Tribolium castaneum: one gene and its partner. Each later gene encodes a partner of the first gene's protein in a complex. Links are inferred from orthologs where the notes say so. Each region holds a gene or a part of one and is shown on either strand. Other genes may lie near its edges. The genes, in order: Not1 and Rcd-1.

Region 1 (16,906 bases):
ATGGGATAGGTCTCGTTCCCGTATCTCAATCAGGAACCGAAATAGCATTGCACATTTTTAAATCGGGAATCGAAGTACATGACGTAAAAGTGCTCCAAAAATTACGTGTGCATGCAAAATTTTAAGTTGTTACGATAACAGGAAGTTTATTTTATTTTGCCCCTAGTAATATTTTCAAATTTTGTTATTTTTAGCGGTTTATATCCTAAATATCTTTTTGCACTTCTTTGATCAAAGGACACTAAGAAGTTGTTTATGAAGAAAAATAAAAGGCAACAATACATTTTATCACTTTATTTAAAAAAAAACTGTAACACAATATCTAGTAGCTATACACAAAAATAATTTCGGAAAAATCACAGTTCTGTGCAGTGGCATCTTCGCTTGACAAACATGCATAATATTAGTGTTTGGAATAACATACGGCCCCTTCCTAAAGGCTCCTCTTCCGAATTGGAACTATCATGAATTGCGTTCTCAACAACGGATTAATACTCGCCTTAACCCAATTATTTTGTACGTTTTCCGTATATTTACTGTGAGAACCAAACCTGGAGACTTAATCCTTAATCCCATTTTGAGTTGGATTTTGCTTATTTTGCAAATAGCAAAATATACTCGATTACTCGTTCGATTCTGCGTTGCTTTTTTCGCGTTCCTCTTCACCGAGCCGGTGTATCTCTTACCTCGTTTTGCCTTACTGTTCCACTGAATCCAAGTTGCCGCAAAGTTGGGTGCTTGGGACCCCACTTGTTCAACGGTTTGGGCAAACCTTTGAATTTCTGGACAAAAATAAAATTCAGAAATAAACCAACCCAGATATTTAAACTCACATCTAACATGATGTGGTGTAACCATCCATTTTAGTGACTGTATAAATCCGGACCACTACTACCATACAACTCCCAACCACTTTGGGTCCTCAACAAATTTATCCTCTGGTATGGTAATCAACTAATCACAGCTCCTGCGAAAATTCTGGTAAACAACAAATAAAGTAACCACCAAATAATCAATCAAACCAATACCAAACGTTTGACAAAATGTGCTCCAAATGAATTTAGATCAATTCAGATTCTATCTTTCCCTTTATTCCTGCGATAAGCACAAACTCTTCAATGTTGTTAAGGAACACTAAAAGAGTGTTCCTGTGATTCTGGTACGAGTTTTATTCCTAAAATTTTTTACAAAATTTGACAGGTTGTCTAGGCAACCAACTATACAAAAGTTTAAATAAAATAATTTTATTAGAATTAAATAAAATCACAATAAAACCAAAATGCGTACTAAGATCACAAAAACGCAATAAAAGTTTTAAATTTTTGGAAAATTTATTTAAACTTCTATATTATTGGTTGCCTGTCTAAACTGTCAAAAATTGCAAGAATTTTATAAAGAATTTTGTAAATGAAAAGAGCGACCTTGGATTCCTGTGAAATTGATGCACATTGTAGATTTAAATTATATTTTAAAATTATGTATATTAAAATAATATTTATAATGTACAGAGTACTGTAATCCCCTGTTTTCAAAAAAATTATATAGATGGCAAAATAAACTCTATAGGTTATCTATGTACAGGTTACTGTCGCCACTGTACAGTGATACTTTGGCATCCAACACCTAGATGTCGCTGCCAACTTTCATTTTATTAACGTATTGCTGTTTCAAAACTGTAAAAACGCTAACGTCACATTTTACCGAAATAAATAAAAATAGATAAAAATGTTAAAGAGTTATGAAAGACAATTGCTTTCTAATGCAAAAGAAATTGTTACAACTTCTATTGAAAAATAAAGCCGATAAAACCTCTACAGAAGTCAAAACGTGTATAATTGGTTGCATAAAACACTAAGTCTAATAATGTACCGGCCTCTCATGCGACACGTGTTACGTGTTGCGGCAGATTTATATTCCTAACCTTAAAGTTTGAAATGAGTACATGTTTCAATTTGGTAAAAACTGTGAAAACAAGAGTAATTTCCAAGTTTGGCAGCTTCGTCAGTACGAGTTTTAGCGACAAATACCTTCTGTGCACAAATGTTGCCCTGTCAGGAACGTTATCTGGGCTGGGGGACATCCTTGAACAAAATTACGAAATGCTAACAGACGACCTGGACAATTGGAACAGAACAAGAACTCGGAACATGTCAATTTGTGGAATTTCAATTGGGGTGATCTGTCATTATTGGTACAATTACCTAGACCGTAAATTACCAGGCTACACAGTTGGCACCGTATGTAAGAAGATCATTGTTGATCAGATTGTCTGCTCTCCTGTGTGCATTGCTACGCTGTTTGTGACTTGTGCAATTTTGGAACGCAAATCGACGAAGGAAGTGGTGAAAGAAATCCAGGAAAAGGCGTGGATTTTATATGCAGCTGAATGGGCTGTATGGCCTGCTGCCCAGTTTATAAACTTTTATTTTCTACCAACTAAGTTTAGGGTGTTGTATGACAATACCATTTCTGTAGGATATGATATTTACACTTCTTATGTAAAACATAAAAAATCAGACAGTGAAAACAGTTGACCTGTGTAGAAATTAGGCAATAAAATTTTAGATTAATACACTTATCTCAGTGCACCTTATCACTTTGTGTAATACGCCTTGTGACAATTTTTTCACATAAATAAACATCAGAAAAACACTTTGTTTTCATTATGTAACCCACAAAGGCATAATTTACATAAATTTTCCTTTTTGAATTTAAATTTTTTATTAGGGACTTTTCGTTCGTGATCGGTTGTTAGAACTGATGGCGGCTTCTTTTTGAACTTTTTCATGGCGTCATTGAAAGTTACTCAAAAGAGAGGTTAAGTTCGGAAAACTTTTATAATTTAACGTTAAGTAGGTGAAAATGAGTGTCTTTCAAGACAATTCGTTAAATGTTGATAACCCCCAAAGCCGGGAGGAGGATGAAGAGCTCGAAGAACAGCGACGACGTCAAGAAGAAGTAAAACTACTCCTAAATTACAAACTTTGCCAATTGGGCTATTCTTTCAGTTAGCTGATTTATTAGCAGATGGGATTCACGCTTTTAATTATGACGACAGTACGATGAATTCATCGGTAACATCAGTAGAAGCAAATGAGCCAAATTATCAAGGGTCATTACGGAACAAAAGTGAATTTAAGTACGAAGGAAGTGGAAAAAGTTTTTTAAACGATGTTACGGACTCAACTATTGAACAGTGTTATAAGGACGCCAGTCAGCAGGAGCAGCTGAAGATTTTATACGATGTTAGAGTCAGGGAAATTAATCGCCTTCAAAAAGATTTCGAAAAATACAAGGAAGAGAAAGCAAAGGAAATTGGAGTACTAAAAAACAAATCGACTCTTGCAGAGGCGGAAATCCGTCACTTACAAATCTCGCTAAGCAATTCTGAAAGCTTATTAGGTCTGTTAACTCATTTGTGCAGCAAATAATAATCATGAATTTTAGTTGAAAAAAACGAAATTATCAACAAGTTAAAGGAAGATTTGGCCTTGAAAGAGTCGAATATCGACAACTTTAAAAAAATTCTAGAAGAAGTAAACGTAATAATAGTAATAAATCCTAATTCTATCCAAAATATTTTAGCAAAACCTAGAAATATGCACATACAAGTCTATGGTCAACGAGTTGCAATTGAAGTTGGCTGATAATAACCCCTTTAGTACAGGGACACGCAAATCAAATTCTGAGGAATTACAAAAAGCTCACCAGGATCAGATCATCAGTCTGGAAACTTTGTATCAGGAACAATCAAAAAAAGCTCAAATTTTGGTACGTGCACAACAGACGCGTCTATTTTTTTGGATTGTATATTATGTTTTAAGGAAAAGGAGAAAACACGTTTGGAGGAAGATTTGAAAAAGTTAATGAAGAGCAAAACAGAAGTGGAGGAGGAAAATAACATGGCCATTATGGCGTTATCCAAAAAACTGCAAAGTGCGCAACAACAATGTAAAGATTTGTTTGTCCTGGGCGAAGCTATAAAAAAAGAAAGTGATCATTTTAAAGGTCTAGGATTTTTATTTCTGATACTGATTCGTGAAATTGTTTTTGTTTGTATGTTTTAGAGAGAATGCAACAAATGGAAGCCAATAAATTTGATATGGCGGATGTCTTTCAAACCAAAAAAATGGTACATCTTCAATAATACGCTTTATAAAACTTGCAATAATCCATTTTTTTATTATTTATAAAGTAGGAATAAATTTAGTCAAGAAAAAAATTTTTGAAATTCTTCGGACGCTACAACCTGTTGATAATAATATGTTATTGATTTTAGGACAAAGAAACAATGGTTGTTCATATGGAAAAATTAAAACGAATGTTGTTAGACAAAGACATTGAAATAAATACGCTGAAAGCTAAATTGAAGTAAAAATTACACGACTTGTTTTTCCAATTAATAAAGTTGACTTTCAGATTTTATGACTCTGACCTAAGCGAATTATTTGAATACAGGCAGATCTTAAGCAAAATGTATTCATGTGAGGTTAAACCATGCAGTAAGTCTGAAATTTTTGGCTTACATCATTTGGACAACGGTAACATTGTAGGTGACAGTGAACATGAAGAACTGATAATTTTCATGCAAAGGCAACTACAGAGTTACCAACAAGCTGTTGAAGATCGTAATAATCAAATAATGAACCTGAATTCGGTAAACAAGGAACTGCAGGAAAAGATTGAGGAAATGATACAGCAAACAAGAAGTGACATTCAAAGCTTGTCGCAGAAATACAGCCTGCCTCAGCTGGAAACAATGAGCAACGAATTAAAAAATGCAGAAGTTACAATCAACAGTTTAAAACAACAATTACTGGAAAATGAGCAAACCCATAAATGTGTACAAGAAGAGTTGAAGAGAGCCGAAGAAGATAAACAAAAACTGTTGGCTCAGTTAGATGAGTTCAGGAAAATAACTGACGAGAACGACAAAGTCAAGACCCAGATTCAGAAAATTTGTCTCAAGCTGGGACTTTCCGAAACCGATTTACTCGAGTCTGACGTTGATGTTCACGAAGTTAATTCAGTAAAGTCCAAATATGGGCAAGTTCACGAACAGTTGCAGCACATTCTTGCCCATCTGGAAGCCACAAGTCCCAGAAGGACAAATTTTGGAATTATTCACAAGATGAAGAAAGACGTGCAAAATTTTCTCAATTCGTTCCACGTCGATAAACTCGAAGCTAAACAAATCCGAGAAAAACTGGAACTTTGGGACAACATGTTGAGCGATTTTATTGAGAGTTTCACACACGGTGTGAAAAATTCCGAATTGAAAGACACTGTTGATGACCTTACAAACGCCAAAACTATGTTAGAGGGTGAAAAATTTGCCCTAGACTATGAGCTGAGGCGCTGCACTAATGAAATTGCCGAAATGAAAAAGGAAATTGCTGCTTTGACTGAAAACAGGAACAATTTGTTGAAAGAATCGGTAGATAATGGGCACACTATTCAAAAATTGAAAGACGAAATTCTCAATTATAAAAAATGTATTAAAGTGATGGAACAAAATAAATTAGAGATTGAAAAACAACTGGAAAACACTCAGAAGCAGCTGAATGATGCAAAACAGGAGACCATAGACTTGCAAAAGACAGTCAATGGAGTAAATGAAGATGTGGTGCGGAAAAAGTTATTCAAAGAGTTGTCAGACGTTGAAAGTGGTTTGGAACAAGATAAAAGAAACAGCGATAGTAGGTTTGTGTTTTAAATTTACTACTCCTATCCCTGAACTTGTAGTTGTGACCAGCGACGTGTTTCAAAAATGTTTGCAAGCACAGCTCTTGAAAACCGAATTGTTGTTGCGTGATCGGTTGCAAGAAGAAAATTCAAAGAAAATGGAAAAAATCGAAGAGGAATACAAGAAAGTCATTCAACAGCGGTCCGATTTGTATCACAAGGAGAAGGAAAAGTGGAAGATTCAGGAAGCAAATTATCGCAAACAGTTTGCTGCAGTTTTGGAGGAATGTGGGCGTAAGATGGAAACTTTAGAAAAGGAAAACATTGAGTTAGCCAAGCGCTTGCACATCCTCATCCAGGAGTGCAAAACGTATAAAAGTAGCAACATCGCGGTTCTGGACAAGTATAACAAACTGGCCACGAACCATAAAAAAGCTTTTGAGGTACCGATTTTTTCTTCAAGTAAGAGCAATTCATCGTTTTATTACAGGATTTAAACAAGCGATGGGCGTCCCTTTTGGAAGCGTATATGTATAATGCAACAAAAATTGAAAAGCAGACCAACAAGAACGTGAAAAATGTCCTGAAAAAAATGGTTTTAAATGACCGAGAGGTAATAACATGCTACGTGTAACGCATTTCTTGTTTATTTAATCAATCTCTATTCCAGATTCAATTAATAGAAAATATTTATAAGGAAAAGATGAAGAAAATAGTTGCTGAGAGGCATAGCAAATCCTGAAAGCTTCATCTTCATTTTCAATATTCTACATGTTTTAATTACAATTTGTATTTTGAACAGTTAAGAAATAAAGAAATATATCTTTGCCAGTTCGTTTTATTTTTATCTGTCCTTTATTCACACTGAGTGATAAGATAACATGCGATAAGTAAATGGAGATAACGTTTTTATTTTGAATTCGGGTGAAAAGAGCGGGTAGAACTTACCGTTCATGACGTGAGGTGCCGCTGCAGTTTCAAATTCGGATCATTAGTTTTCTTCGGCTTTCGAAGCACATGTGAAAAGTTGACGTTTTCCTGCCATTTTCGTGCGTGTTCCGGGTGGTGTAGTTTTTTTTTGCGCGTCTTTTCTGGAAAAATAATCAAAATACACGTAACTATAACCACACATCCCCTCAGGATAGTGAGCTCGTTGTTGGTCATGCGTAGTTTCATACATATGTTTTATTCGATGCATGTGTTGTGTGTTGCGTGAGTCAAAAGATGATTCTGGTAAATTAAAGTGGTGAAAAGTACATTAAAGATTCGATGATGGTCTTGGACCATTTAAAATTTAGTTGTTTTTCAAAAATACATAAGACTTTGTGGATAAAAGCCCCGTGCATACCTAAGAAAGCTTCAAAAGTATTTGAAGCTTTCGAGGCCGTGTTCATGGAACTATGAACCTAGACTCGTTGTCTTTTACCTTGTCACAAATAAGTTATTTAGTTGCATCATTAACCAAAAAGAACTACAAGCAAGTCGTTGCCGAACTCTCAAAGGTAAGAGTAGCGGAAAATTTGAACCGTTGCAAATGCGTGGACTAAAATTATCAGATTGACAAATCGGCCATCTTTTCCATGCCAGCTGTCACGCACAGTTACCGATCGAGCAATGTTGTGGTGAACAAAGGTGTTTTGATTGTTATTATTTTTTTCGTTCACGTTCTTGCAAAATGTCATTCAGATTATCAGAGTGCTTCTTATCACTTAAACAGCTTTTAAATTTGATCAAACGTTCGTTTTATAGTTGGTAACTTTGCATGGTCTGGAGGCGGACCGTCACTTGCTCCAATGTCTATTTTCATCAGTGGACTTTTCTGAATCTACAAGCAAAATAACCGCTCCATCTCCCCAAAATCAAGCATTGTTAGAGCAGTGTTCGAACTTGTTGAACAAACCCTCGCTGCTGACGTCTGTTTGCTACATCACAGACAATCCATTGAGCACCAACAAGGTAACAAAACCGCTTCGGTGGGTCACTTTTTCTGCAGCGGTTCCGTTACAGGCTTTCAAATTCGGACCCCAGTTCTTCCAGCAGTTGAGCAAGTGCCTTCGCCTCTCAGCTGTCCAGGAAGTCGTTTTCGCTCTCGCCCTTCGCCACTCTTCAAACCAGGAAGTTTCGTCTTTAGCCCAGGCACATTTACGGTTAACGGTTCCGACTCTCATCCAGTCGTATATCGAGACTGAAGGCAGCACCCGCCAGCACGAAGGGGGCCTCCACGAGACCACCCCCGAGGTCCTCCACTTGATCCTCTCCGCTGTTCTGAAAGCCCCCAAAGACGTTGGGCTCACCAACAACGCGCACCGGGCGTTTCTCGACACTCTCCAGCGCGACTTCCCCAAAGACCTCGTTCCCGTAGTGTTAGCACCGTTAGTTTACCCCGAACATTGTGAATTGTCGCCGGAAATGTCATCCGAAGGCCCCGGTTTATCCGGGGGCATGTTAGAGACTTCGCTGGCCGATCTGGTGGCTGAGATCGGTTTCGGTTTTACTTCGTCGGTGGAAGAATGTCGGAACAACTTGATGAAGCTTGGGGGACGCGACATCACCCCTGCAACAGTCGCTCGGATCCTTACCGTTATGTGCCGAACACACAGTGGCCTTGAAGATTCACTCAGTCTACAATCGCCAGGCAGTTTTAATAAGGGCAATGAGGGGCGCACTTGGAACGTGGAGGTTTTCGTCCAGGCGTTGAAAGAGGTCGTGCCGAACTTTCAATGGGCCAACACTGTGGCCGAGTTGGACCATCCCGAATTTATTATTAAAGATAGACAAGGACTCATTATTCTAATAAGTGCACTTCGACATGGCCTCCAGACGCTGGGATTCCACCCGGAAACTTTTCCAATTGACCAATTTTATAAGAGATGGACGAACGTCGAGGGGCAGTTCAGTCTCGTTCAACATGTTCTCAAAAATCCAGATGTGTTCTGTTTTGCTGACTATCCCGCGATGACCGTCAGTGTTGACGTTCTCAAAACACCACCGGAACAAGACAGCAAGGAACTGGCCAATTGGAGATCGTTAAATCTGGTCGAGTTGCTCCTGCACATGTCTGAATGTGGCTTGTTCACTTACGTTCAAGAACTGTTCAAATATCCAATGCACAACTGTCCTGATGTCTTAGTCCTCGCATTGTTACAAATACAAGGGCCTGTAACGCTCCTCAGACAAGAATTACTCTCCAACTTGATCCCAATCTTTCTCCTGAATCACCCAAACTCTGCCATAATACTACACCATGCCTGGCACACCACCAACATCAATATCAAATCCATAATAATGCATGCCATGGCCGAATGGTATGTGCGAAGCGACTGCGATCAAACGAGACTGTCCCGAATTCTGGACGTTGCCCAAGACCTGAAAGCCCTCTCAATGCTCCTAAACGCCCAAAACCAACAATCTTATCCGTTCATCATCGACTTGGCTTGTCTTGCATCCAGACGTGAGTACCTCAAGCTGGAAAAGTGGCTCTCGGATAAAATCAGAGAACACGGCGAGCCTTTTGTCCAAGCTTGCGTCAAGTTTTTGCACCGCCGTTGCCCGCAAATCCTGGGCAAAAGTGACGACGCTATGACCAAAGCTTCGTCCCTACCCAACGAAACTTTGACCACGATTATGATTTGTTTGCAATCTTGCATGAACAGCGTCAGTCCCGAGTGCCAAGAGGCGATAATCAACGTCACCACCGGTTGCAGTATTTTACTGAAATCGCGTCAACAGCCGGCTCTTGTTAGGTCCAGGGGCGTTGAAGGCCCGTTCAGTGTTTCGGCAATGTCGGGACAGCTTTACAACCACTCTGCTGTCGATACTATTCCCGGTTTGACCACGAATTTGGCCAGCATGACAATGTCGGGGCCCACTAGTTCGGCGTTTAATTTGCAAGGGGGACTCGGGCCGCTAGTGCAGTCTCCCGGGTCTCCTTCGCGGATTTTGGGTGCTGGTCCTTCAAACAGTCCGTTTCCGATGATGCCGTTGCAACATCAGGGACCAGTAGGGACCAGTTCGTCGCTGGTTTTGGGAGTTAATCAAATCGGGAATATTGGAAGGATGGGCCCGGCTTCGAATATTGATAAAAGCAGGATTCCTGAATATAACTTGTTCCCGGAAATGTCGCCCAACGTATCGAAGGATATTGAAGACGAAGCTAATAGCTATTTTCAAAGGATTTACAATCATCCGCCTCATCCTACTTTGTCCATTGATGAGGTGTTGGATATGTTGAAGAGGTTCCAGGATTCGCACAACAAACGGGAGAGAGAAGTGAGTTTTACCACTTCTTTATATGATAATAATAAAAAACTAATATTGAACCAATTAAATTTACATTAAACTTTGACATTATTTAACAACGTAATGCAACATTTTCAGTCACTTTAGAATTTCAAAAACTAGGGGTTACAGCACGTTGGCGCTCGGGAAAGTAGGAAAAAATTCTATGCAATACTTTAGATAATTTTATAATACTCGAACTAAATTTTTACCAATATCAGTTGAATCGATCACGAGATATTTTGTTCTCGAAAAAAAAATCGTTTGATAAGCAAAGGAGAAGTCAGCGTTTTTTAAATATTTTTTATATTACCGTTAATCTGCGATTTTTGATATTTTGAAGGGTCCTCTCTATCTACACTCCAACATGTACACAAATTACGAATTTTTAAAATGTTGTAAAATGTGTATTTTCTCTTAAAAAAAAATCTTTTCTTTGTAACATATAAAGAATGACATTATTTTATCCGCTGAGGTGGTATTTTTTCGATAAGTCTTTATAACAAAGGCTTATTTTTCTAAAACTGTATGACACTTTTTCTCAGATACGGTTGGCAATATTTAGTCAAGAGTGAACTCATGTAGCCCGTGTAAAATTTCACTCTACCTCCGAACACTTTATTTATAAATTGAGTATTTTTGCATATTTACAAAAAAAAAGAAAAAAAAGACTATGCAACAACATTAGCTAGCCCAAGTTCTTTGAAATCGTTTTTGCAAATTTTTATAAAACAAAGTATATTTTACAAAGTGTGCAAAATATGCTGTTGTTGGTGAAACCCTAAGCAAAGTCTCAAGTTACAAAGACGTTGATGGAACAGGGCCCAGGTAGTGGTTATGAAGGATAAACCCTAAATATTTATTGACTAAATAATAAGGGGCTGTTAACATTGGTTGTAACAATGCCAACAGAATATTTTCACATTTTCTGAGTATTTTTTCGGTTAATATGAAATAACAATAAATGAAGATAATTTTTATTATCCTTGATGTCAGAGTAAATAACATTAATAGCATTAGTTCAGAATAAATCTGTTAAACGCTATAATTCTTGATAACTATTTAATAAATTTATATATCGATAACGTTTCTCTATCTACTTTCACCAAATGACAACACATTGAAAAGAAGCTTCTCAGAATTTCCATCCAAAAGTTTAACCCGAACTTACAAAAGCCGATTTCAAACACCCATCCCTCATTATCCTAAGTAATTTGCATTTTGTGACATACCCTATTGATTTGATAATCTTCGGTAAGTCTTTAAACCTGTCACAGGCAGAGAACTACCCTTTGCAGAAGAACGAAAAACGAAATTTTATCTGAGTAACTAAGTTTACTAATCTCTTATTCTAATTAACTGAAGCAGACATTTTTTGAATATTAATTTATTTTATTGTTTTAAACTGGTCTATTCTGGCTTTTTGTCAAAGGAAAAAGAAAAAGAACGCTTTTATCCAGTTTTTATTACGTTTGCTACGTTTATTTTCCAGGTTTTCAACTGCATGCTGCGAAACCTGTTCGAAGAATACAAATTTTTTCCGCAATACCCGGAGAAGGAACTGTTTATCACAGCCCAACTCTTTGGTGGCATAATCGAAAGGAGCATCGTAACATCTTACGTCGCATTGGGGTTGGCTCTGCGTTTCGTCTTAGAAGCCCTCAAAAAACCAGAGGGATCCAAAATGTATTATTTCGGCATAGCAGCGCTGGATAGATTCAAGAGCCGATTGAAAGACTACCACAAATATTGCGAGCACGTACGAGCCATACCTCATTTTTCCGAATTTCCGTCACATTTACAAGAATATGTCGAGTACGGTTTGCAAAGTGTTGAACCACCAAATAAGCCACAAGGTTCAGTTTTACCCGCCAGTATGGCTTCGATGCTTGCGCCACCAAGCACTCCAGTTTCGCAAGTGTATAAACCGAATTCGACGATAAGTTCGAGTGCCCCGAGCAAGGCAAGTACTACGACCACTAGTACTTTGGGGAGTAGACCATCGATAGCCAATGCAACGAATATTGACACACTTCTGGTCGCCACAGAAAAAGATGAGAAAGTAATTGCGCCACCGGAAGCTCTCCAGGATAAAATTGCCTTCATTTTTAATAACTTGAGTCAACTGAACCTTAAACCGAAGTGTGACGAGTTGCGTGAGCTAGTTTTGGAGGAATACTGGCCTTGGCTATCGCAATATTTGGTAATGAAGAGGGCGTCAATCGAGTTGAATTTTCACGGGCTGTATTCTAATTTCTTGGACACTTTGAATAACAACGAAGTTTACAGAATGGTCACTAAAGAAACGTACAGAAACATCAAAGTTCTGCTACGATCGGATAAAGGAATCGAGAATTTCTCTGATAGATCATTATTGAAGAATTTGGGACACTGGTTGGGCATTTTGACTTTGGCCCGCAACAAACCAATTCTTCAAATCGATTTAGACCTAAAATCACTGCTTGTAGAAGCGTACAATAAAGGCCAACAGGAATTGCTGTACGTGGTGCCATTCGTAGCGAAAGTGATAGAATCGTGCGCTAAAAGCAAAGTCTTCAAGCCACAAAACCCCTGGACCATGGCCATCATGAACGTCCTCGCCGAACTCCACCAAGAGCAGGACTTGAAACTCACTCTGAAATTCGAAATCGAAGTGTTGTGCAAAAACCTCGATATTGACATAACTCAACTGAAACCGACCATGTATTTGAAAGACCCTGAACGCATCCACAAGATCGAGTATCAATTATCTCAACCATCTAAGAAAGAAAACGTTTTAATTCCGTCAACACAAGGCAACATCCCTCAGGGCGCTATAAACGAACCGGAGTTGGTGAACATGATTCCGGGACAGGCGGCTAATTCTCCAGTCACACACAATAACAGTACCACTCCAACTTCGGCATTGTCTGCACCTCCGGAGCCCCGTTTCAGCTATGGGGACATCCAAATTGCCGGAATGACATCTTTTCAGACACACACCGTCGTCAGTCCTTCTATCCTGCTGTTCCAAAACCAGCCACAGTTGAAACCTCTAGTTCGGTCGTCAATTGAACATGCTGTGCAGGAGTGGATCGCGCCTGTTGTTGACCGCTCCATTAAAATCGCTTTGCAAACGTGCGAACAAATCATCAGAAAGGATTTTGCTTTGGATCCTGACGAGGGACGAATGAGACTAGCGGCGCACTTTATGGTCAGGAATCTAACCGCCGGTATGGCAATGATAACGTGCCGAGACCAATTGTTGTCTGCCATAAATACTCACCTGAAACAGGCCCTCTTGGCGAATATTGGTACTCCTACTTTGCAACAAAAGGAGATGATTGAACAAGCGGCCAGTATTATTGCCAATGACAATATGGAGTTGGCGTGTGCCTTTGTTCAAAAAACGGCGGTGGAGAAGGCTATTCCCGAAATTGACAAGCGGTTGATGAGCGAGTACGATCTTAGGAAGATGGCGAGACAAGAAGGACGGTAAGTGAAATTTTAGAGTGCTCTGGCAGGGCAGTATCTACAGTAGATTCAAATACGAATTAACGAAACCTAAAACTCTCTTACTAACATCGTGTCCCTAGTTTTTTTTTAGTTTCGAAGATATTTTGTTATCATTGTTTTGTGTTTTCAGGCGCTATTGTGACGCCATTGCGCTGACTTACCAGGCCGAGCGAATGCCCGAGCAGATTCGCCTAAAAGTGGGCGGAATTTCCAACAGCCAAATGGCTGTGTACGAAGAATTCGCCCGAAATATTCCAGGATTTTTACCGAACGAACGCGATTCGAGCATTTTGATGCAAAAACAAAACTTGGCACCGATTGAAACCCAGATACATCCAACCACACCATTTCCCCTACCACAAGCAGCGGTGCTCAACGATGACTTGACCATAACTTTCGAGAAATTGTGTCTCGAAATCGAACAGTTTGTCCAAGCCACATCCGGACAACCACAATATTCGCACATGAGTTCTAATTTGCTTTTGATCAGAGAATGTCTTCTACATACTTCGAGAAATAGGGATCCGACTCCGCCACAAGCCATGGTACAAAAAGTGAGTGTCAATTTTATGTTTTCGGCGGTTTAATCATTGATTTTTGTGTGTGTAGTGCGTGGAGAGTCTGCAAGATTCCCTTGGTTCGACATTGAGCGAAGCCGACCCTGTTGTTATGCGTTTCAAGGAGATTATAGTTAGAGTTTTGAAATCATTCCAAGATCCGCGTGTTTTCGGACAACAGTGGACTAACAAACTGGTTACGAGATTTTTGACTGAATGTCGTGAAGATTATCGTTACAATATCGACGCTGTCGATACGTTGATCAAGTCTGGTCTTGTTCATGTTCCTCAGTATGATTTGGCACTGGCCCAGTGCATGGAAAACGGCGTGAACTATATGGGAGTCAACTTTGCCATGCAATTGGTCCAGTTGTATCTGATTGACGATCGCAATAACCAGTTTGTGACCGATAATGACCTTTGTAATACGATCGAAATGTTGGCCAAGATACAAACCCACATGAGACAGCCACCTGAAGGTTTGGGCAATATCATCGAGATACTGAGACAAAATCCTGAAACACCGTTCTTTGGAGACCGCGCGCCCGTTGGACCTACTCTTCACATTCACAATGGAATTCTTCAGGTAGGTGTTAAGACATGCATGGCTATTTATTGTGAGGGGTAAACAGCTGACTACAATTTTGTACATCTAACACATTTATTTCGTAAAATACAACCGAACATATTTATTACAGTCGAACTTTGATAACTCGAATGGACAGTTATCAACAAATTTGTGTTATCAGAAATAACTGAAGAAAAAAAAATTAAGATATAAAAACTACATATTTTTAATTAAATGCTCAAATGTTGTTTTGTGCAAAAAAGTTTGATTTTGAAAGACAAATGTCGGTTTATGTTCGATATTTCAAGAAATTCGACTTATCGAAGTTCGATTGTTGGAGTTACTAAATATTATGACTTTTTGCTACGGAATTCGGGTTATCGAAGATCGACTACAATTATATTCACAGCTGAAAAGCACCTACCTATCTCAACTCTGGTCGAATCTTGCAAAAAACACCTCGGAAACTCTTCAAAACGGCCAATGTTTCTCCAAAACTTAGCGGAATTTTTTGAAAATTTTTGGGCTTGTAGGTACAATGTTAGTGCTCAGTTGTTTACTCCTCGGCTGTTTGTAGATTTCCTTCGGTGAAACTTTGCCTTTATGATGTTTCTAAACGATGTGTTTTTTGTGTAGATTAAACGCGACCCGGTTGGGAGTTATGGTTTAAATTTTTTTTCGGGATGCACGGATAGTGATTTCCGGTTTAAGTGAAATGACACGGACATTTTCAAGAAATTGTAACGGCTTTTTTGTTGCCGGATTTTTTACGATTACGGACTGGTAGAGAAGCGTTTTTTAAGAAAATTGTGAGTTTGTAGTCGTGTGTTTGATTACCTTTATAGAGAAAAACTAACCTTTCGATGGGAAAGGTAGTAAATTCTTACAAGTGAAAACTATATTTTCAGTTTTGTTTTTAGTGTTTAGTTTCATTTATTTAGTTAGTTTTGGTTGATTTTGTTTGTTTTTTTCTTGTGTATGACATTGTGAGGTCCAAACGACGTCGTGCAATAAAGAATGTCTACAAATTCTTGACCATCGAAAGGTTGAAATTCAAAAATAAAAACGTGAAATATTTTGTATTATTATAAATTTGTTAAGTGTTTGTTTTTGTCCACAATAAAGCAATGAATAAACGCCTCGGTTGTATTTTTATTCTTTACTCGGAGAAATCTTGCAGATCTTCTCCTTGTTGAACTTGTTGTATATATATGAAATTAACCCATAAAGGTCATTCAAATTGCACTTTTCTGATGTCTAGATTTACAACCGTGTATTTAGAATTTAGATTTTAGTAGTATTTGTTTGTGTTTATTTTGTGTAAAAATTTTACACTAAACTAATTACTTGAAATAAAAAATACAATTTGAATGATGTTTAGTGGAATTAAAGTTGTACTTTGTATGCTTTAAAGAATCTTAGATAAGCGTTTTTCTGTTATTATTTAATGTTGTAAAGTTAATGATAGTGATTATTTTAAGTCCGTTCATAAACGACGAAGATACTCCTTATAGTAAATTTATAGGTGCGCGGGCCGTATCACGATGATCCTCCGGGATTTGTCGAGAAAACCGACTTCCTCTTAAGGGAGTGGATAAGTATCTACAACCAGCCTCAAGGCCGCGACTCAACGAAAGCGTTCGGCGTATTCGTGCATCAAATGAACATGCATGGGATTCTAAAAACCGACGAATTGATTACAAGATTTTTCAGATTGTCCACACAGTTGTGCGTGGAAGCGGTGTACAGAATAATTTCAGATAAGACCAACGCACAGTTACCAACAGTCAGAGCGAAATGTTACAACACACTGGACGCGTTTGTTCGTCTGGTGGCCCTCTTGGTGAAACATTCAGGTGATGCCAATAACACCACTACAAAAATACATCTTTTGAATAAAGTTTTGGGGATCGTCGCCGGCTGTTTGCTCCAAGATCACGACACAAGAACCATCGAGTTCAATCAGCTGCCCTACCAGAGGATCTTCACCATGTTGTTCCTCGAGTTGAACTCCCCCGAACCGGTCTTAGAAGCCATCAATTTCCACGTGTTGAGCGCTTATTGCCACACTCTCCACATCTTGCGTCCGACGAAAGCCGCCGGTTTTTGCTACGCCTGGTTGGAGTTGGTGTCCCATCGAATCTTCATGGGGCGCATGCTAGCGGGGACTCCGCAACAAAAGTGTTGGCCTTTGTACGCGCAACTTCTCATTGATCTTTTCAAGTATTTGTCGCCGTTTTTGAGGAACGCCGAGTTGGCCAAACCTGTCACCATGCTCTACAAAGGCACCTTGCGCGTGCTCTTGGTCCTCCTGCATGATTTC
Region 2 (16,756 bases), on another chromosome or scaffold:
TTATCAAAGTACATCCTCGTGCTGCAAAAAGCCATCCGGGGCTGGATTTTCAAACGACGTTTCCGGAAACTACGGGAGGCGACCATCGTTTTCCAAAAATACTGGAGAGCGAGGGGCTATCGCACCAAGTTTCTTACCATCAGAAATGGCTATCAGAGGTTGCAAGCGTCGATTCGGTCCAGACAACTTACGCATTCGTTTGGGAAGGTCCGGAAAAATATCGTTCATTTGCAGGCAGTTGCCAGGGGACATGTGGTTCGGAATAAATCGCAGTTTGGGCGAATTTATGCGATAGTTAAACAGCGAAAGGTCGATGAACAAAATATGAAGAACGCTGGCAACAAGAATTATAGAATTGACGCCGAGACCAAAATGCAAAAGAGTTTGGCTGAACTAAACCGGGAGTACACCTTGAAGTTGAAGCAGCAGGAGGAGGAAGAAAACAAGGCGAAGAAACTGGTTGATGATGTCTTCGAGTTTCTCAAAGATCCGAACCTTCCAGCCACTCCAACCGACATCAGGAAAGAAAATGACGCGTTTATTGTAAGTAACACAAGGAATGTCCAAAGTGTAATAAAATAAACACCACACAAAGTCTTCAATTTTATTTAACAAAAATCGGAACATTGTATAAATTGGAACAGAATTCCACATTCTTTCAGTAACGTTGATCGCAATGTTCGGTAGGCTACTGATTTTGAATATTGATTTCAACGGATCTAATCAATATCCTGATAACCCACTTAATAGCAGCTATTTTTACCTCCTGATAACTCTTGCAGGAGCTGCTCAAGGATGCAAAGTCGGGCGAAAAAGACAAAACCTACGACGAAGAACAGGAAGACTTGTCAGCTTACAACTTTGCGAAATTTGCAGCGACTTACTTCATCAAAAACACTAATCATCACTACTCCAAACGTCCACTCAAAGAATCTTTACTTGATTTACCAACGCCGGACGATATTATCGCAGCGCAAGCTCTCTGGATCACCATTTTGAGGTTCATGGGGGACTTACCGGAACCCAAATTTGAAAATGCAATCAAAACCAACGAATCAGTCATGACGCAAGTGTCGCAAACTTTGAGTCGGAGTTTCACCAACCGGAAGGAGTATCAGGTTAGTCCAGTTTTATTCATCCGTGTTTCTCACTGTTCGAGTTTAGGACATTCTGAAAGATGAGAGAAAAATGGCAAGCTTGACCAAATCCGAAAGGAAGAAACTAGTAAGTATGACTTTGAGACGCAAGAACAAGCTGTTGGAAGACGTGCGACAAGGGCTGGTTGAGGACAACTTTGCGGCCGAAAGCTACAACGAGTGGTTGAATAATCGCAGAGCTACGAACTTGGAAAAGTTGCACTTTATAATCGGGCACGGGATTTTGCGACCAGAACTGCGGTATTTTAACACTGTTGACTAACATTTTGACCGAATTTAATTTTTCTAGTGACGAGATCTTTTGCCAAATTTGCAAACAACTAACCAATAACCCGACCAAAGCCTCACACGCCCGTGGCTGGATTCTGCTCTCGCTGTGCATCGGTTGTTTCCCTCCCTCCGACAGGTTTCTCAACTACTTGCGCGCTTTCATCCGGAGTGGTCCCCCAGGTTACGCCCCGTACTGCGAAGGCCGCTTGAACCGGACTTTCAAAAACGGCGCCCGGACGCAGCCCCCCAGTTGGTTGGAATTAATGGCGACAAGAAACAAGAACCCGATTTCGCTCAAAATCACGTTTATGGACAACAGCGAGCAGGAGGTTGAGGTGGATTCAGCGACCACGTCTGAAGAGATTTGCAAAGAGATAGCAACGAAACGCAACTTGAAGGACGTTTTCGGTTTTTCGCTGTTTATCACGCTGTTTGATAAAGTGATGTCGTTGGGGAGTGACTCTGACCACGTTATGGATGCGATTTCTCAGTGTGAACAATACGCCAAAGAGAAAGGTCAGTCGGAACGCAACGCTCCTTGGAAGCTCTTCTTCAGGAAGGAGATTTTCACGCCGTGGCACAACGCCGCTGATGATTCCGTTGCCACGAGCTTGATCTACCACCAGATAATACGAGGGTTGAAGTTTGGGGAGTACCGCTGTAGTGTTGAGGGCGACGTGGTTTCACTAGTGGCCACCCAGTATTACGTCGATAATGGGGCCCAACTTAACCCGGAAATTTTGCATACCAGAATCGGGGAATACATGCCGACTTATTTAGTCAAGAAAGGCCAAAAGAACTTGGACGAGTGGGAAAAACGGATCAAGGATGCCTTCTCCAAATTACTCTGCGTCAAAAACAAACTCCCAGCGATTAAAGCCCAAGAATTCATCGTCAAATACGCCAAAAACACCTGGCCTATCCTCTTCTCAAAATTCTTCGAAGCCATGCAGACTGGCGGACCCGAGCTTCCGACCAAAACAATGATAATCGCTGTCAACTGGACGGGAATTTACATGATCGACGACCAGGAGCAAATCCTCCTCGAGCTGAGCTTTTGCGACGTCAGTTCGGTCAGTTTCGAGCGAATCGGGCGTTCGCACTTGCACAAGTTCGTCCTGACCACGGTCAGAAACGAAGAATACGTCTTCGTAAGTCCCGACGCCGAAAATATTTGCACCCTCATCCAGTACCTTCTGGACGGCTTGAAGAAACGGTCGACGTACGTGGTGGCGATTCAAGACTACAAACACCAGACCAACGCTCCGTCGTTCCTAGCCCTCAAGAAGGGTGACCTAATAGCCCTGAAGAACGGCCTTAATGGCGAAGCCCTGATGTCGGCCACTTGGGGCTACGGGGAATGCAACGGCTCCGTTGGCGATTTCCCGACCGAGCACGTCTACATCCTCCCAGCCATCACGCAGCCCCCAGCTGACATTTTAACAGCGTTCAAAAAAGAGGGTGTTTTTGGGCCGAAAAAGCCCTCAGCACCTGTCCTGAACACGATGCAGAGGCTGAAACTCTACACTTTGGCCCACTACGCCAATGAGCACTTCCGAGCCGGGAAGAAACTCGTCAATTCCAAACCGTCGGTTCTAACAGCGGCGCGAAGAGCGTCCCGTGAAGAGCTCTGGAAGTACACCAATGAGCCAATCTACCAACCCCACCTCCAGAAACTCTTGACTGACGAAGACTTGAGTAAGGAAGCATGTTCGGCGTTCACCGCGATTTTGAAATACATGGGGGACCTACCGGCCCCCAAAGCCAAATACAGTAACGAGTACACGGATCAAATCTTCTCAGGGGCTCTTAAGAATGACATGCTCAAGGACGAAGTCTACTGCCAGATAATGCGCCAGTTGACGTTCAACCGGCTGTCTTTAAGTGAGGAACGCGGCTGGGAGCTGATGTACTTAGCGACGGGTCTGTTCATCCCAAGTGCCTCCCTAATGACAGAGCTGCACAAGTTCCTGACTTCGAGGACGCACCCCTTCGTTGAGCCGTGTCTGAAGCGGCTGCAGCGGAGCCAGAAGGTGGGCCCGCGCAAATACCCGCCCTATTCCGTCGAAGTTGAGGCCATCCAACACCGCAGCATGGAAATCTACCACAAGATTTACTTCCCTGACGACACCGACGAGGCCTTTGAAGTGGATTCCGTGACCAGGGCGTGCGACCTCTGCAAGACAATTTCATCCAGACTGGAGTTGGAATACACGGACGGGTTCAGCTTGTTTGTGATGATTTCGGATAAAGTGTTCTCGATTCCGGAGGATTACTTCTTCTACGATTTCCTCCACGAGTTGATCTCCTGGATGCGGCAGACGAAACCCAGCTGGAACAGTGCGGCACCGATCCAAGCCCAATACCAGGTGTTCTTCATGAAGAAGCTCTGGATTAACGCCGTGCCTGGCAAGGACCCAAACGCCGATCAAATCTTCCACTTCCACCAAGAACTGCCCAAGTATTTGCGAGGTTTCCACAAGTGCACCAAACAAGACGCGATTAAACTTGCCGCTCTGGTTCTCCACTCGAGGCTTGACAATGACTACAACCAGGCCCAAGCGGCCGTGCAGTACTTGAAGGAGCTGATCCCAGCAGATTTGGTCAAGGCTGCGAGTTCCTCCGAGTGGAAGAAAAGTATTTTAACCGAATTTAAAAAGCTGGGAGATATTAGCATCGAAAAAGCAAAGCTTCGATTCTTGGAAACGATTTACGAGTGGCCCACGTTCGGGTGCACTTTCTTTGAAGTCAAACAAACCACCGATCCTACTTTACCGGGTATTATTTTGATCGGGATTAATAAACTGGGTGTTAATATCTTGCATCCACAAACAAAGGTTTGTTGATTCGGTTTGGTTTGGTTTGTTGTAATTTTTTGCATTTTAGGATATTTTGGCCGTACATGAATTCTCAGAGTTGAGCAATTGGTCCTCGGGGAATACGTTCTTCCACCTAACCATCGGGAACATAATGAGGAAAACGAAGCTTTTGTGCGAAACGTCGCAAGGTTACAAAATGGATGATTTGATTACGTCCTATACCGATTACATTAAAAACACCGCGAAGAAGGAACAGGAAAAAGAAAAATTCTTTTTGTAAATGCGTAATTTTTATTTTATTGTAAATACATAATTGTTGGTGTATAATTCGTGACAATGATAATAAATAAATAATAAAACACAACTAATTCTTTTTTAATACAAAGAAACCACGGTAAGTACATAACTCTAACATTATTTTTGTAATTTGCCGCCATTTTGATGCTTAAATAGGCACCTTAAAGCACTCAACGTCATCAAGTACGATGTCATAATAGTTATTATTTGACGGAACTTTTTACGAAAATTTTTAGGTTGGCAAGAAACAAATTCGGAACCGTATTTTTGGAATTTCACAAATTTCAAGAGGCGTTCATGCAACAATACCATTGTCATCCAAACTCTTGTTTTTTGTCAAAACTTTAATAAAACACATATTTTAAATCAATATTTCACTTTCAAAACAGAAATTACCAACTGTGACGAAATTCCATAAATCGACTAAAATAACAATTTTTGTTTAAAAACGGCAAACAAAAGGCAAATTACAAAAAATAGTATAACTCGTTTTATAAGACCTTATACCACTTATTCTTTCAAAAAACTGAATTCGTGCTTTATGAGTGGTCTTATGGAACTTCTTTTTTAATATACTACTAGAATACAAAGACAAAAAAATCAGTTCACAGTATAATCGAATTACCAGAGATACTAAAACCAAAACACTTTTAAATAAAATAGAAACAAAAGAATTTGGTTTTGTTTATGACAAATCAGTTATTCTTGAAAACTTTGATACAATAACATTTGGATATTAATTTGATAAATAAATTAATGAGTAAAAGTTATCTCCAAAAAAAATGATTAAATTCATGAGTCCAATAAAAACTTTGTCATTTTCTGGAGCGTAGACCGTTTAGGTATGCACCGAATTTTTCAACTCACATAATTCCCTTAAATAAATTTCATCTTCGGCTTTGCCTCTGGGGTGGCCCTGCCAGTCTTTATCTTTTTTAGACATAAGTAGTTCTATATTAATGCTAATCCTCCATTTTTGCTATAACAAGGATAATCCTAACTTAATAATGTCAGTTCCCGGCGCCTCCACCATATTTTACAGGGTGAGATTAAAAGTCATGTGGGTGGTGTTGTAGAAAAGGTTTATTTACAAAAAATGACTACATTGAATGAGAATGCGTACTTACACACTTGGTACCACAAAATAACCACGATGTAACAAGACTAATCAACACCAAGCAGGACTAACCAGGACTAAACTGAACTCCCCAATATTCCGCGTTTTTATTACGTTTTGAGAAGTTGAGTCGACAGTATTGATGACGTTCTAGTGTTCCACTTATGAACGACATCGCAAATGAAACCTCTTTTCGAAACATAATTTTTGTTACAGAATATTAGATAATAAAAAACTGACCCGATTTCCGCGTATGTTACAATAATAAATACTGTTTCTCTTTTAAAGCTGTTAACCTTCATAAAACAAAACTGTGAATTTGTGGATATGATCGAAACGAATTCATTTTTGTGTTCAAGTGGCCTAATAGAAAAACAGGGCAAAATCTTTGAAAAAATGTTAATTAAAAATATGCTTTAAAAACGATGGTTTTTTCACGATTTTTTCTGATTTTCTGTTTACCTCTAAAAATAAAGATGTTTTCCTTAAAAAAGTAGCTGTGTTCACTAGGGGCCCCCTTAGTAGTTGAAAAGTATCGGTTCTTTGCATTTTTCTCATAAGCGGTAAGCATATCAGAAGAATGAGTCAGGTAAACGTTGTAGATCATGCAATCACCATTTTGAGATTTTGCGGCTTCAAAAGTTAAAGTGGTAAAGTCGTGTATAAGAAAGTGACTTGGCACTTTTTTTAAACGTGGTTTGCCACACAAGTGTCTCCTGATAAAGAAAAGTTGATTTGTTTCGAGATTTTATATTTTTTTATTTATTTTCAAAGGTTTATCCCTCGCTTTCCACGCAATATTAATTACAATCAATGTTGATTTGTTGAGTCCAAGCAAAAAAAAGTCAAAGTAACGTGCCGTGTTTTTCTACCTACTGGCAATAATTTAAATTTTAGTTTCAATTTAAACCTCTTATTTATTTTCACTCATTGTCCCAATTTTTGTGTTTTTCAACTAGCAGAACGTCTACCATTACCCAGGGGGCTATAATTCAATGAAAAACTGAAGACGTGAGATGCAACAAAAGCAAAGACAGAGTCATCCTTTTATGAATTAACGTAATTAACGTAATGATTGTTGTAAAAGTTGTAAGCATTTCGATTGGGCAGTTTGAGGTCGGCCATTAAAATTAGGGAGAAAACCAATTACTTTACTTTTTTGGATTCATTGAAGAATTACGTTTTTGGATATGATTGGTCCATTTAAGGTCGGCCATCATGATAACGTGGAAAACCAATCACTTTGAATTTTTGGACTCATTCATAATTTAATAAAATAAGAATGGTTAATTTAAATTATAAGAGCAGTCAATAAATAAACGGTTTTAACTCCTACAGATAAAACTACGCGTTCCAAACGAACCGTTTGGCCTATGCATCAAATGAATTGGGAGAAATCCAATTACCTTATTTAAATTGTTGGTTGCATACTTTATAATTAAAACGTGTTTTTTTTTTGTTGACCTAATTTTATTTAGTTCAATTTATGTCATACTTATTTCATTGATTTTTTTAAAACAAAAAATTATTATTATAAACACTTTTTATTTGAAATAATATAAAAAAACGGGTTCGCTTTAGCCAGACTTCGGGAGTGGAGTATTTGACGTCCGCTTGAAAATATCTGTCAGTTGTCAGTCTGTAATCTTGTAAAATTTGGGGTTGTTAAGGGTTGTTTGTAGTGTTTTCGTCTCAATTTTGTTAAAAATTCACTTCACACAACTAACGTACAAAACATTAAGTAATTGTTGAAAGCAAACGTTTTAGTTTGGAAGTAATTTTTGTGGGCATAGCCTAGCATTACAAAAAACGCTAATTTTGGAAAACTGTGGTCTTGTATCAAGCCAAAATCATGAGCACTCAACCGAGTCCAGCAAACCAAACCGTCGAACGCGAAAAGGTTTTCCAGTGGATTCTGGAACTCACTAATCCAGAAACTAGGGAGAATGCCCTTTTAGAATTAAGGTGAGCGTTTGTAGTTGTGGGCAAACGGTCCAATTTTGGCTATTTGTAGTAAAAAACGCGAAGTTGTACCTGATTTGGCCCCAATGCTGTGGAACAGCTTTGGGACAACGGCGGCTCTCTTGCAAGAAATCATCAATATTTATCCCGCAATAAATCCAGCCACGTTAACTGCTCATCAGTCCAACAGGTACCAAGCGCACAATTTGAGGCAAAACTACTTGTTTGTAATTTTTTGTAGAGTTTGTAACGCTTTGGCGTTGCTCCAGTGCGTGGCCTCCCATCCGGAAACCAGATCTCAGTTTTTGTTGGCACATGTGCCTCTTTTCCTCTATCCTTTCCTGCACACAGTTTCCAAAACTCGCCCTTTTGAGTACTTGAGACTGACAAGTCTTGGAGTAATTGGTGCACTTGTCAAGGTATTTTTCTGATTATTTTTGTTGGCAAAAAGTTTATTTTATTATTGTAGACTGATGAGCAGGAGGTCATTAATTTTCTTCTGACGACTGAAATAATTCCCTTATGCTTGCGAATAATGGAGTCTGGATCTGAACTAAGTAAAACCGTTGCTACCTTTATCTTGCAGAAGATTTTGTTGGACGACAGTGGCCTTTCATACATTTGCCAGACCTATGATAGGTTTAGCCACGTGGCTATGATTTTGGTAAGTTGTTACCAATGAAAAGTGAATTTTAGGTTTGTATTTGAATTTTTAGGGTAAAATGGTTTTGGTTCTGGCGAAGGAACCAAGTGCTAGGCTTTTGAAGCATGTTGTAAGGTGTTATTTAAGATTGTCAGATAATCCAAGGTACTAGATATTTTTCTTGTTTGTTTCAGGTTGTGCTAATTTTTCTTTGCTTTTTTAGGGCTAGAGAAGCATTAAGGCAGTGCCTCCCTGATCACTTACGTGACAACACATTTACCGTGTGTTTGCAAGAAGATAAATCAACGAAACATTGGCTTTCGCAATTGTTGACGAATTTAGAAACACCCGGTACTTCAGAATTACGTCAAGGGGGAATATCACCCTTGACGTCCCAATAGTTGAAAATTGTGATTTAATAACGTCTTTCTTTAGTTTAGTTCAAATATCAAATAACAGTAGAGTATGAAATGTTACTTTTGGACTAGGATTTACGGTGTCTTAAAGAACGAGACAGAATTTTGCAAATTTAGCAGTTTCCATTTATCAGATTCTGCCTTGTTTTTTAAGATGCCAAATGTCCTGGTTCACAAGTCACATTTTATACTCTACTAATAACGAAAGCAATCATTGTATTGTCCTTGTAAATATGCCAACAGATCATTTTACTTTGTATCTTGTTTATATCTTTTAGGATGCCTGATGTGTATTATTTAAATTTTTGTGAAAAAAATAAAATATATAATTTAAATTATGCTGATTGTTTAATTAAAAATACCATAAATTAAACTCGCTCCATAATAGGAAACCAAAAGGCACGTAATATCATTCGAAAAATAAAATTACTTCCCAGAGTTTCACTTTTTCTTCCGCCAAAAATTCTTTACATATTAAATCCTATTTAATTAAACAACTTTTTATATAGTATTGAGGGATATTTACGTAATAATTAATAACTTCAACATCTAACTCGAATTTAATTAATCTTTTGGTTTAACTTATGTCTATATGATTTACATTTTTTAAGTTTAACTTTATAATTGAAAAAAGTATCAAAGTGTACTCTAATTATAAATTCAAATGGTCATATGGTATTATTATTATTATTATTTTCCCTTATTTACTGGAAATGCACGACCAGTATAAATCACAAATTTATAATAGAATATAAGATAAGGTAAATAAAAGAAATCATCCAATGATTAAATACAGTGGCGAACTCTAGATTATCACATGCTAAATAAAACAAGATGGAGGGCAGTCGCTGTACTGAAGCGCCATCTTTTTATATAACAAGTCTAAGGATAAAGGCCAACATCCGTTTAAAAACATTCTAAATTCACACTTTTTCTACAAAGCTACTACTTACTTCAGTTGATAATTTGTTGTAACAAAGATTTCTTTTAATAAGAAGTGAATTTTGAATCGATATTAAAGCATTTTAATGCAAGTCAAAGATTCTTTATAAGTATTATCCCTAAGTCTATTACTAATCTCAAAGTGTTGGCCCCTATCCTTTTTATCTTATTTTTGTAAAAGTACAATTCCTTATACTTTTTATTATAATCGGGAATACCTATATCCCAGACTTTCCTCAATTTGTATACCTAAGCATTCTTAAAGCTTCTCTTAATGCACAATGATTTTTTTCTGTTCCTACTTTAGACAGGTACAAAGAAGAACAATTTCGATCTAATTGGCGGATATTTTCAGAAAGTTTCACAAAATAAGTTTCACGATAAATCTTCAGATAAATCTAGCGAAATAAAATCGGTTTTTTGGCTTGGTGTAGCCAAATTATGCAAATTAACAGTTTTTGCTTGCAATAAGTATTAAACTAAAACTAACTGAAACATAAAAAATAATTTTCGACTTTCGTAGATAATTTCTTGGTCTGTTTGAGCAAAAGTTTGCTAAGAAGGTGAGCTGTTAGATTAAAAATGTGATTAATTGACAAAAAACTTCAAAAAACTTCTTAACTTTATAATTATTACTAGACCCAATTGACACATTATCTAAGTAATCGGAATGTTTCGTAAAATAAATGAGTTTTTAGCTGAAAATAAGGTAGGTAAGTTTCGACATAATTCGGTGATTTATTGGCCTGTTTTAACGAAATTTTGTATGCGTTTTAATAAATCATTTGATTTTGAGACCTAATTAATTAAGCAAGTTTTAAAATCTTGATTTTTACAAACATCTTTCGTAGTTAATTTTTATTTCTTTATTTACAAGAAATGGGTCTTTTAAGAATGTTAAAAATATGAATTTTTACTACAGTAGAGCTCGGTTATAACGTAACAAACCCGGCATATAACGCATCCTAAAGGTATATAATAACAAATTTGGTTATAACGGTGGTTATAATGGTAGTTGTAACCGAACATCAGAATCTTACAACGAAAACTTGCTTTTTCCGTCCAATTTTTACATAAAAAGCAGTATATACGTCTCGGTTATAGCTATAACGTATAATAAACACATGCGGACTTATGTTACAATCTAAGAAACAATAATCATTTACGAAATATAGCATTATCAATATAACATTTCGACAGACACATGAACACACAAAGTAATCACAAATCTTTAAATTTTGCTACAAATGTAATAGTTATTATTGAATAGTTGGAAAATTATTAAACTTATTTAAAGATAGTTTCTTAGCGTCCACTCCCTAATGTAAATTTCGAAAATCTAGCCGGTGTAAGTTGCTCTTTAAATGAACAAAGAGCCACTTATTCTAGTGAGTTACACTCAAGTTATTCTATATAGAAGGTGAACTGCTGTAAATGTATCTTTCAAATAATAAATAATAATAATAATAATTTCGGTAAAAGCAGTGCAGTTTCTTAGCGTCCATTGTGGTGCAAATAGCGAGATCTTAGCATTAATTTTAATATGGGTTATCGTGGTAGCAGGTTAGTCATTTGCACCACAGTGGTTATTAAGAAAGTGAACGAATTTTAAGCATGTTTTCTTCGTATTTTTTCTGTAGATAATTTCTTATAATAAATATTAGTTAATCGAAATGTTATGATTTGTAAAATCATTATTCTAAAACAAACCATGCTTAAATAATGTTATTAGCAAAAAATTGAGCTCAAAATACAAAAAAATTGTTAGTACCTAATGATTGTTTTAAAAATCCAATTAAACCAAAAACAATATTTGAAGACAAAAAAAAACATTTTTAGACTTTCTGACGAGTTATGAAATATTTATCTCGTCATTTCCAACTTGCTGTTACATGGCTGTAGGTAGGACATTAGAGTTACCCTCAAGTATTTCCAGCCAGAAATTAGTGAAAAACAAGTTACTAACACTCCGCACTTAGTAGTAACTGACCAAATTTTAGTTTTTCCTTTAAAATGCTTTATTTTAAGTTTTTATGAGTCAAAATATTTAGGGTTCTTAAAAATGGTTCTCGTATTAATATCTTCAAATAACCAAAAACAAATTCACATGCTCTCTTTTAGTCAGTTGTCAAGAATTTTTACATGAGCCCATCAACACCATCCTGGTTCAAAGATCACATTTTTTTTATTATTAAGTTTATTGTTATTTTTCAGTTAAACTGCATTTTTCGATGATCATCCATTATTATTATCATTATTATCCTTACCTATAAAAATTAATATAAATAATTAATTTTTGTAATTAATTCAGAAAAAAATTGAAAGTTGAAAAAAATCTAATAAAAATCTAGTAGTCTTTGAAAGTTTTTTCCCATCATTATTTATTCCCAAGAGTCCACCACATGGCCAAAAGTATTTCGTTTTCCTGTTAACACTTAATGTTGATGGAAAATAATTTTCAAACAGGACTAGATTCTTTATAGTTTTCAAAATTATTTTCTGAAGTAAATAAAGCAATTGCCGCATCTTAAAAGACTTTCTCAAGAGCCCGAGTAGAAGAATGAATCCTGTAAATTAGTTTCAAAAATGTTACTTAAAACGGCTGCAAAACACTGTGGAAAATGGCGAAAATTGAACTCTTTTTATTCATAGTCTTGAGCATATTTTTTAGGCAACTCTTTCGCAAGATATTCCCTTGGATATATTATTTGATAAAAAAAGTTTCATCCGGTAAGCAGATGGGTCCCGGACGACCCTAATTCGGATCCTGTATGAACCGACTTAATACTATAGATTTTTTACTAAAGTCCGAATTAAGTAGGTATATTTTCTTCTGAAACCGGTAGATATGTGGACGAAGTCTTACTTTAATAGCTGTACAGTGGCTACAGGTATTTAATACTTATTACAATTAAGCTTCTATGTAAATATTAATAATAATTTTCCTCGTCGGTCTGTGTCCGCATTAAAAATTCTCCAGGACAGCCAAATTAGGGGAAGATGTAGGTAGTGTAGTAGATAGATGTGAATAGCATTCACCACCACCCTTATTAGTTTCCCGCCCGTTTTATAATGGCGGCTGGAAGACGCCAATGAAAATAAAACGCGGGAGAAACCATTGAGTAGGGGAAGTTAGACTCAAGGGTCGTTTACCCTTGGATGTTGCTGTATACGCATATAAAGTGAAAGTGAAAGTAAAGCGAAGGACAGAGAAAGTATTTTAATAAAGTATGAAACGTTTTATTTTTGACGGTCTCTCCATTAAACCCACATCTAGTACATCTATACTCTAAGTAAAGTGCATCATATCTGCACTTTAAGTTCACTAAATCGATCGGCAAGTGAAGCAAAAAATTGAAAAATAGTCATGAATAGTAATTTACTCGACGTGGAGTTGTATTTTAGTGAGCATTTCATACAAACGGGATTATTAAATAGCAACAGGACAAAATAATGTAACACGATCCTTATACAATAAGACGGCACATTTAAAAACAGATTTATCATTTTGTAACAACTAAAGATAATAATAAAAGCGGCTTTGAAAACCAGTTCGTAAATTCAGGGGCTCTGCAGAACAACCCACATTTAAAGTGTCTTAGATATTATAACACTGCTAAATTATGACATTAATGCTTGATTTATTATTGCAATAAAATTCTTCAAAATGTGCCACGTAATAACAATACGCTTCATTGCTTAATTTAATTTTTACTTTGTGATTGAAGTTATAGGGGTAACATCGAGTTGTAGCAACTTTACAAAACATCAACAACACACAGAGGGATGTGTTTCGAGGTATCACTTTATTGATCTCACTCAAAATAAATTGTGTGTATGTATAGACTGGAGTCGACGTTCGATGAGCACAGACTGTAGGAAAAACACAGTTAGAAAAAAAGAGAAGTTATTATACAAAAATATTTCCAAAAGAAATTAATTAATTTTGATGTAACTACCGAAGATTTATAAAATTGTTTATGGAATCATTAGGAGAAAAATACCAATTAGATTTTAAATTAAAGGCATGCTAACTTTAACAAATGATACTTATTTGAATTTTAACCGTTGTATGTAACACTAACCCCCGGTTTTTAAAACCTATCGTTATTAGATAAATTTTATCGATGCTAAGGAATAAGGAAGATTGTGTTGGTATTAGTATAAAACTTATGAAACGATAAAAATTATATTATCTAACGATAACTTGCTCTATTAGATAGAAACTGGGGGTATAAGACCTGATATTTTTGCGAATTTTGCTCCGAAAATGTCAGTAAGGTCTAGTAAATAAAAAATGGTCGTCTTGTTGGCATACCTTCATCATGCGTTGAAGAAAAAATATTTTAATTTTTATTTTGTTTAAAATTAAAATATAATGTCGTTTTAAACTTTAAGATACATTTATAAATAATGACGACAGGAAAATTACATTTTTTGTAGTGAAGCTCCACAGAAATTGAGATTTTCTGAATAAAAAATAAATGTTAGTTTTTATTGCTCCTAAGAGAGAAAAGTGTGAATAAAACCTACCGTTTCAAAAACAAAAAGACAGCTTGTGCTAAAGGTGAAATCTGCTAAATGTGTACCTATCTGTATCTCAAAAACTAACATAGTGTTTGCTAATATTAACTGTGTTAAAACTATAAAACGCCAACGTCGTATTTTTTTTATCAAAATTTGCTGTTATAAATTTTTTGTACTCATAGCTTTTAGATAGCTATGATTTTCCCGCAGTGCGGTGTTTTCTACTTTGCAAAAGTGGCTAAGGACATTTAATAGGTTGGTATCGCTACGTTTAGATAGAAACGATACTTTTTTTATGATAAGTGACAGTTCATGTCAATTTGATGATTGTTTGACCTGTTACCAACTCATCAGCAAAAAGAACTAAATTATCAAAAAAAAAATTTTTTTTTTGATATTTGTTACAAAAAATATTGTACCGAACTTGTTTGTATAGCAATTTCCAGTATTCACATTTCCTGCATCACTCGCTACGCTCGTACAGCAAACAAAGTGCTCATGTGGGAATTTTCCATTTTCCAAACTCGTAAGGTACGTGTAAACCCATTTCAAAGTTAACTAGATGATAATCATTTGAACACATCTTGTAGTTTCTACTAATAACAGATATCTAGTATAAACATTGGTATTTACATTTACAAGAAAGTAACGTAGGTAAGAAGGTAACAAAAAAATTAAAAACCTAATATTAGAATATAATAAGTTATATTTTTTTAATCCGCGTGGTATTTTTATAAAGGGTAAGTTCACTAAAAGTATCTATTTTTTTAGTAAGTATTTTCCAAAAACTACTATTAGTTTTTGGAAAATATAGGTAATGGAAAAGAAAAAAAACTCAGAGTTAGTTTATTAAATTAAATTAGTTTATTAAATACTTTATATTTTTTCTAAGCCGGTAAATTTTTTCAGAATTTTTCTACAATTTCTTGTAATTAAAATTAATTAGCTACAAAATTATTATTCCTTATGGCATCGAAGAACAAACGATACATTGGTAAATGTTTTGTGCAAGAAATCCTTAAAGAAATGTCGTTAGTCCCAAAAACAATTATTAAATAAAAATTTGAAGTTCAAATAAGAAGATAACACTAGAAACCATAAAATTTTGAACAATAAATAATTTTTACATTTTCAATTTTATTGATAAGTACCTATTAATATTTTATTATTACACCGAAAAGTAAGTAGAAAAACTCTGAAAAAATCACATACCATTAGTGAAAAAATACCTAAAGTATTTTTTACTAAATAAGATTTGCCAAACTATTTTTCACATTTCCTTCAAACTTCGTATTTTTTTTAAATTAAATTTTAAAGTCTCAACATGAGTTTTTATGATTTTGATTTTACAATTATTTTAAAAATTCATCGAACATAACTTTTACCTAAAGCGGTCCCAAATGTGCACCTTCCTCGAACAATACCTGAGGTCATGCACTTAAAAATATAACAGCTAATGTAATTTATTATTGCGATAAAAGAAATAATCATTAATAACTATTTTACAATTTGAAAATTTGCAAAATTTGTATTGAAAAATTACAAAAAAATGTTTTATTTGTTGACCTGTGTTACCTTTTAATTTAATTTAATCAAATTTAATTTTAATTAACACACGTATTTCTGATACACCCTGTAAAGTTCTTTATTTTAAATATTAATTTATTAAAAATGAATAAAATTAGTAACATTAAAATTTTTATAAATCGAAATTTTTATGCAAATGATTCTTAAATCTTGTTTTATGCAAAAAATTGTCGCTAGCCCCTAAATTACATTTGTTCAAAATTTTGAATTTTTATTTACGAAGATAATCAATTATTTTTTAGGTATGGTGCCATTTTTTTACGTATTTTTTACACAAAATAACATTAAGGGTCAGTTTCATAATCGAATTAAATATTATTTATAATGCACTAATTCCTATAGATTTGTTGACAAATATAAAAATATAAAAATAATGTTTTCCATCTAAGCATTTCAGCCCGATGTACCTAACAAAGTTTTGTAATTTTTGCTTTTCCCCAAGTTTAATAAGTTTCTAGATAATTTGTTTTCTTCTTCAATTTCATAAATAAATCGGGTCTCGGTGTTCTTAATGAGATCTGTGTGTCTATAATACCTAAAACACGCAGTCGTAGTCGATTAAAAAAATAACAATAATCTCGACAATAATAATAATTTGAAGCTCAAGTGTAATTATTCTTATCCGCTGTACGCTAAACAAAACATTATTTACATGATGTAAACAATTTGCGAGCGTTTATTTGCGTATCAGGTCCGTGTCGGGAATCCATTTCATAAACGCAATTGCATCCGAAGGTAACTGCATACACGCGTAATTGCGATTGGTTATACGCCAGTGCAATGTAAAGTCGTTCGCCAATCGTAAATCTCGTTGCACTCACTGCACTTTTTACGTACCCAACTGCAAGCATGTGCAGTAACGACGACGACAATAATTGCAAGGCGTGTATCAAAAATTCCACTTTTCGCAGGATAGACAAATACGTGTCAAAGGAACGTGAGAACATTAAATTACTCACACACATCTGCATCCTGTTGTTTATTGATTGCGCTAGAGCCTAGAAATAGGCAGTAGGGTG

Evidence for each region.
Region 2: the proteins of Not1 (region 1) and Rcd-1 are in contact, whole or in part, in a crystal structure (PDB 4CRU), measured with the Homo sapiens proteins. The link is inferred for Tribolium castaneum from reciprocal best matches to the Homo sapiens genes CNOT1 and CNOT9. Residues at the interface, in NP_057368.3 of Homo sapiens: Ile1415, Ala1416, Thr1418, Thr1419, Gln1422, Ile1423, Lys1426, Asp1427, Phe1428, Met1444, Asn1447, Leu1448, Gly1451, Met1452, Met1454, Ile1455, Arg1458, Glu1459, Tyr1548, Gln1549, Arg1552, Met1553, Pro1554, Gln1556, Ile1557, Leu1559, Val1564, Lys1567, Gln1568, Leu1569; in NP_005435.1 of Homo sapiens: Arg19, Glu20, Tyr23, Ile26, Asn27, Ser30, Ser31, Pro32, Arg35, Pro54, Met55, Trp57, His58, Ser59, Phe60, Gly61, Ile63, Ala64, Ala65, Leu67, Gln68, Val71, Asn72, Tyr74, Pro75, Ser76, Ile77, Asn78, Pro79, Thr81.

The regions. Positions count from the first base shown.
Region 1 is NC_087394.1:30,451,211-30,468,116, reverse strand, and holds the start of Not1 (CCR4-NOT transcription complex subunit 1), read left to right. Parts: upstream 1-6,770; 5' UTR 6,771-7,085; coding exon 7,086-7,187; exon of another isoform or gene 7,188-7,252; intron 7,253-7,434; coding exon 7,435-9,954; intron 9,955-11,455; coding exon 11,456-13,437; intron 13,438-13,588; coding exon 13,589-14,012; intron 14,013-14,067; coding exon 14,068-14,601; intron 14,602-16,108; coding exon 16,109-16,906. Other genes in the region: mpv17-like protein 2, read left to right, coding at 1,935-2,534; putative leucine-rich repeat-containing protein DDB_G0290503, read left to right, coding at 2,863-2,958, 3,009-3,402, 3,448-3,536, 3,586-3,771, 3,825-4,008, 4,068-4,132, 4,280-4,371, 4,420-4,502 and 4 more.
Region 2 is NC_087398.1:10,409,794-10,426,549, forward strand, and holds Rcd-1 (CCR4-NOT transcription complex subunit 9), read left to right. Parts: upstream 1-7,301; 5' UTR 7,302-7,512; coding exon 7,513-7,625; intron 7,626-7,674; coding exon 7,675-7,812; intron 7,813-7,863; coding exon 7,864-8,041; intron 8,042-8,091; coding exon 8,092-8,286; intron 8,287-8,338; coding exon 8,339-8,430; intron 8,431-8,488; coding exon 8,489-8,666; 3' UTR 8,667-9,019; downstream 9,020-16,756. Other genes in the region: myosin-VIIa, read left to right, coding at 1-543, 783-1,118, 1,165-1,397, 1,447-4,264, 4,314-4,526. UniProt on the Homo sapiens protein: Component of the CCR4-NOT complex which is one of the major cellular mRNA deadenylases and is linked to various cellular processes including bulk mRNA degradation, miRNA-mediated repression, translational repression during translational initiation and general transcription regulation.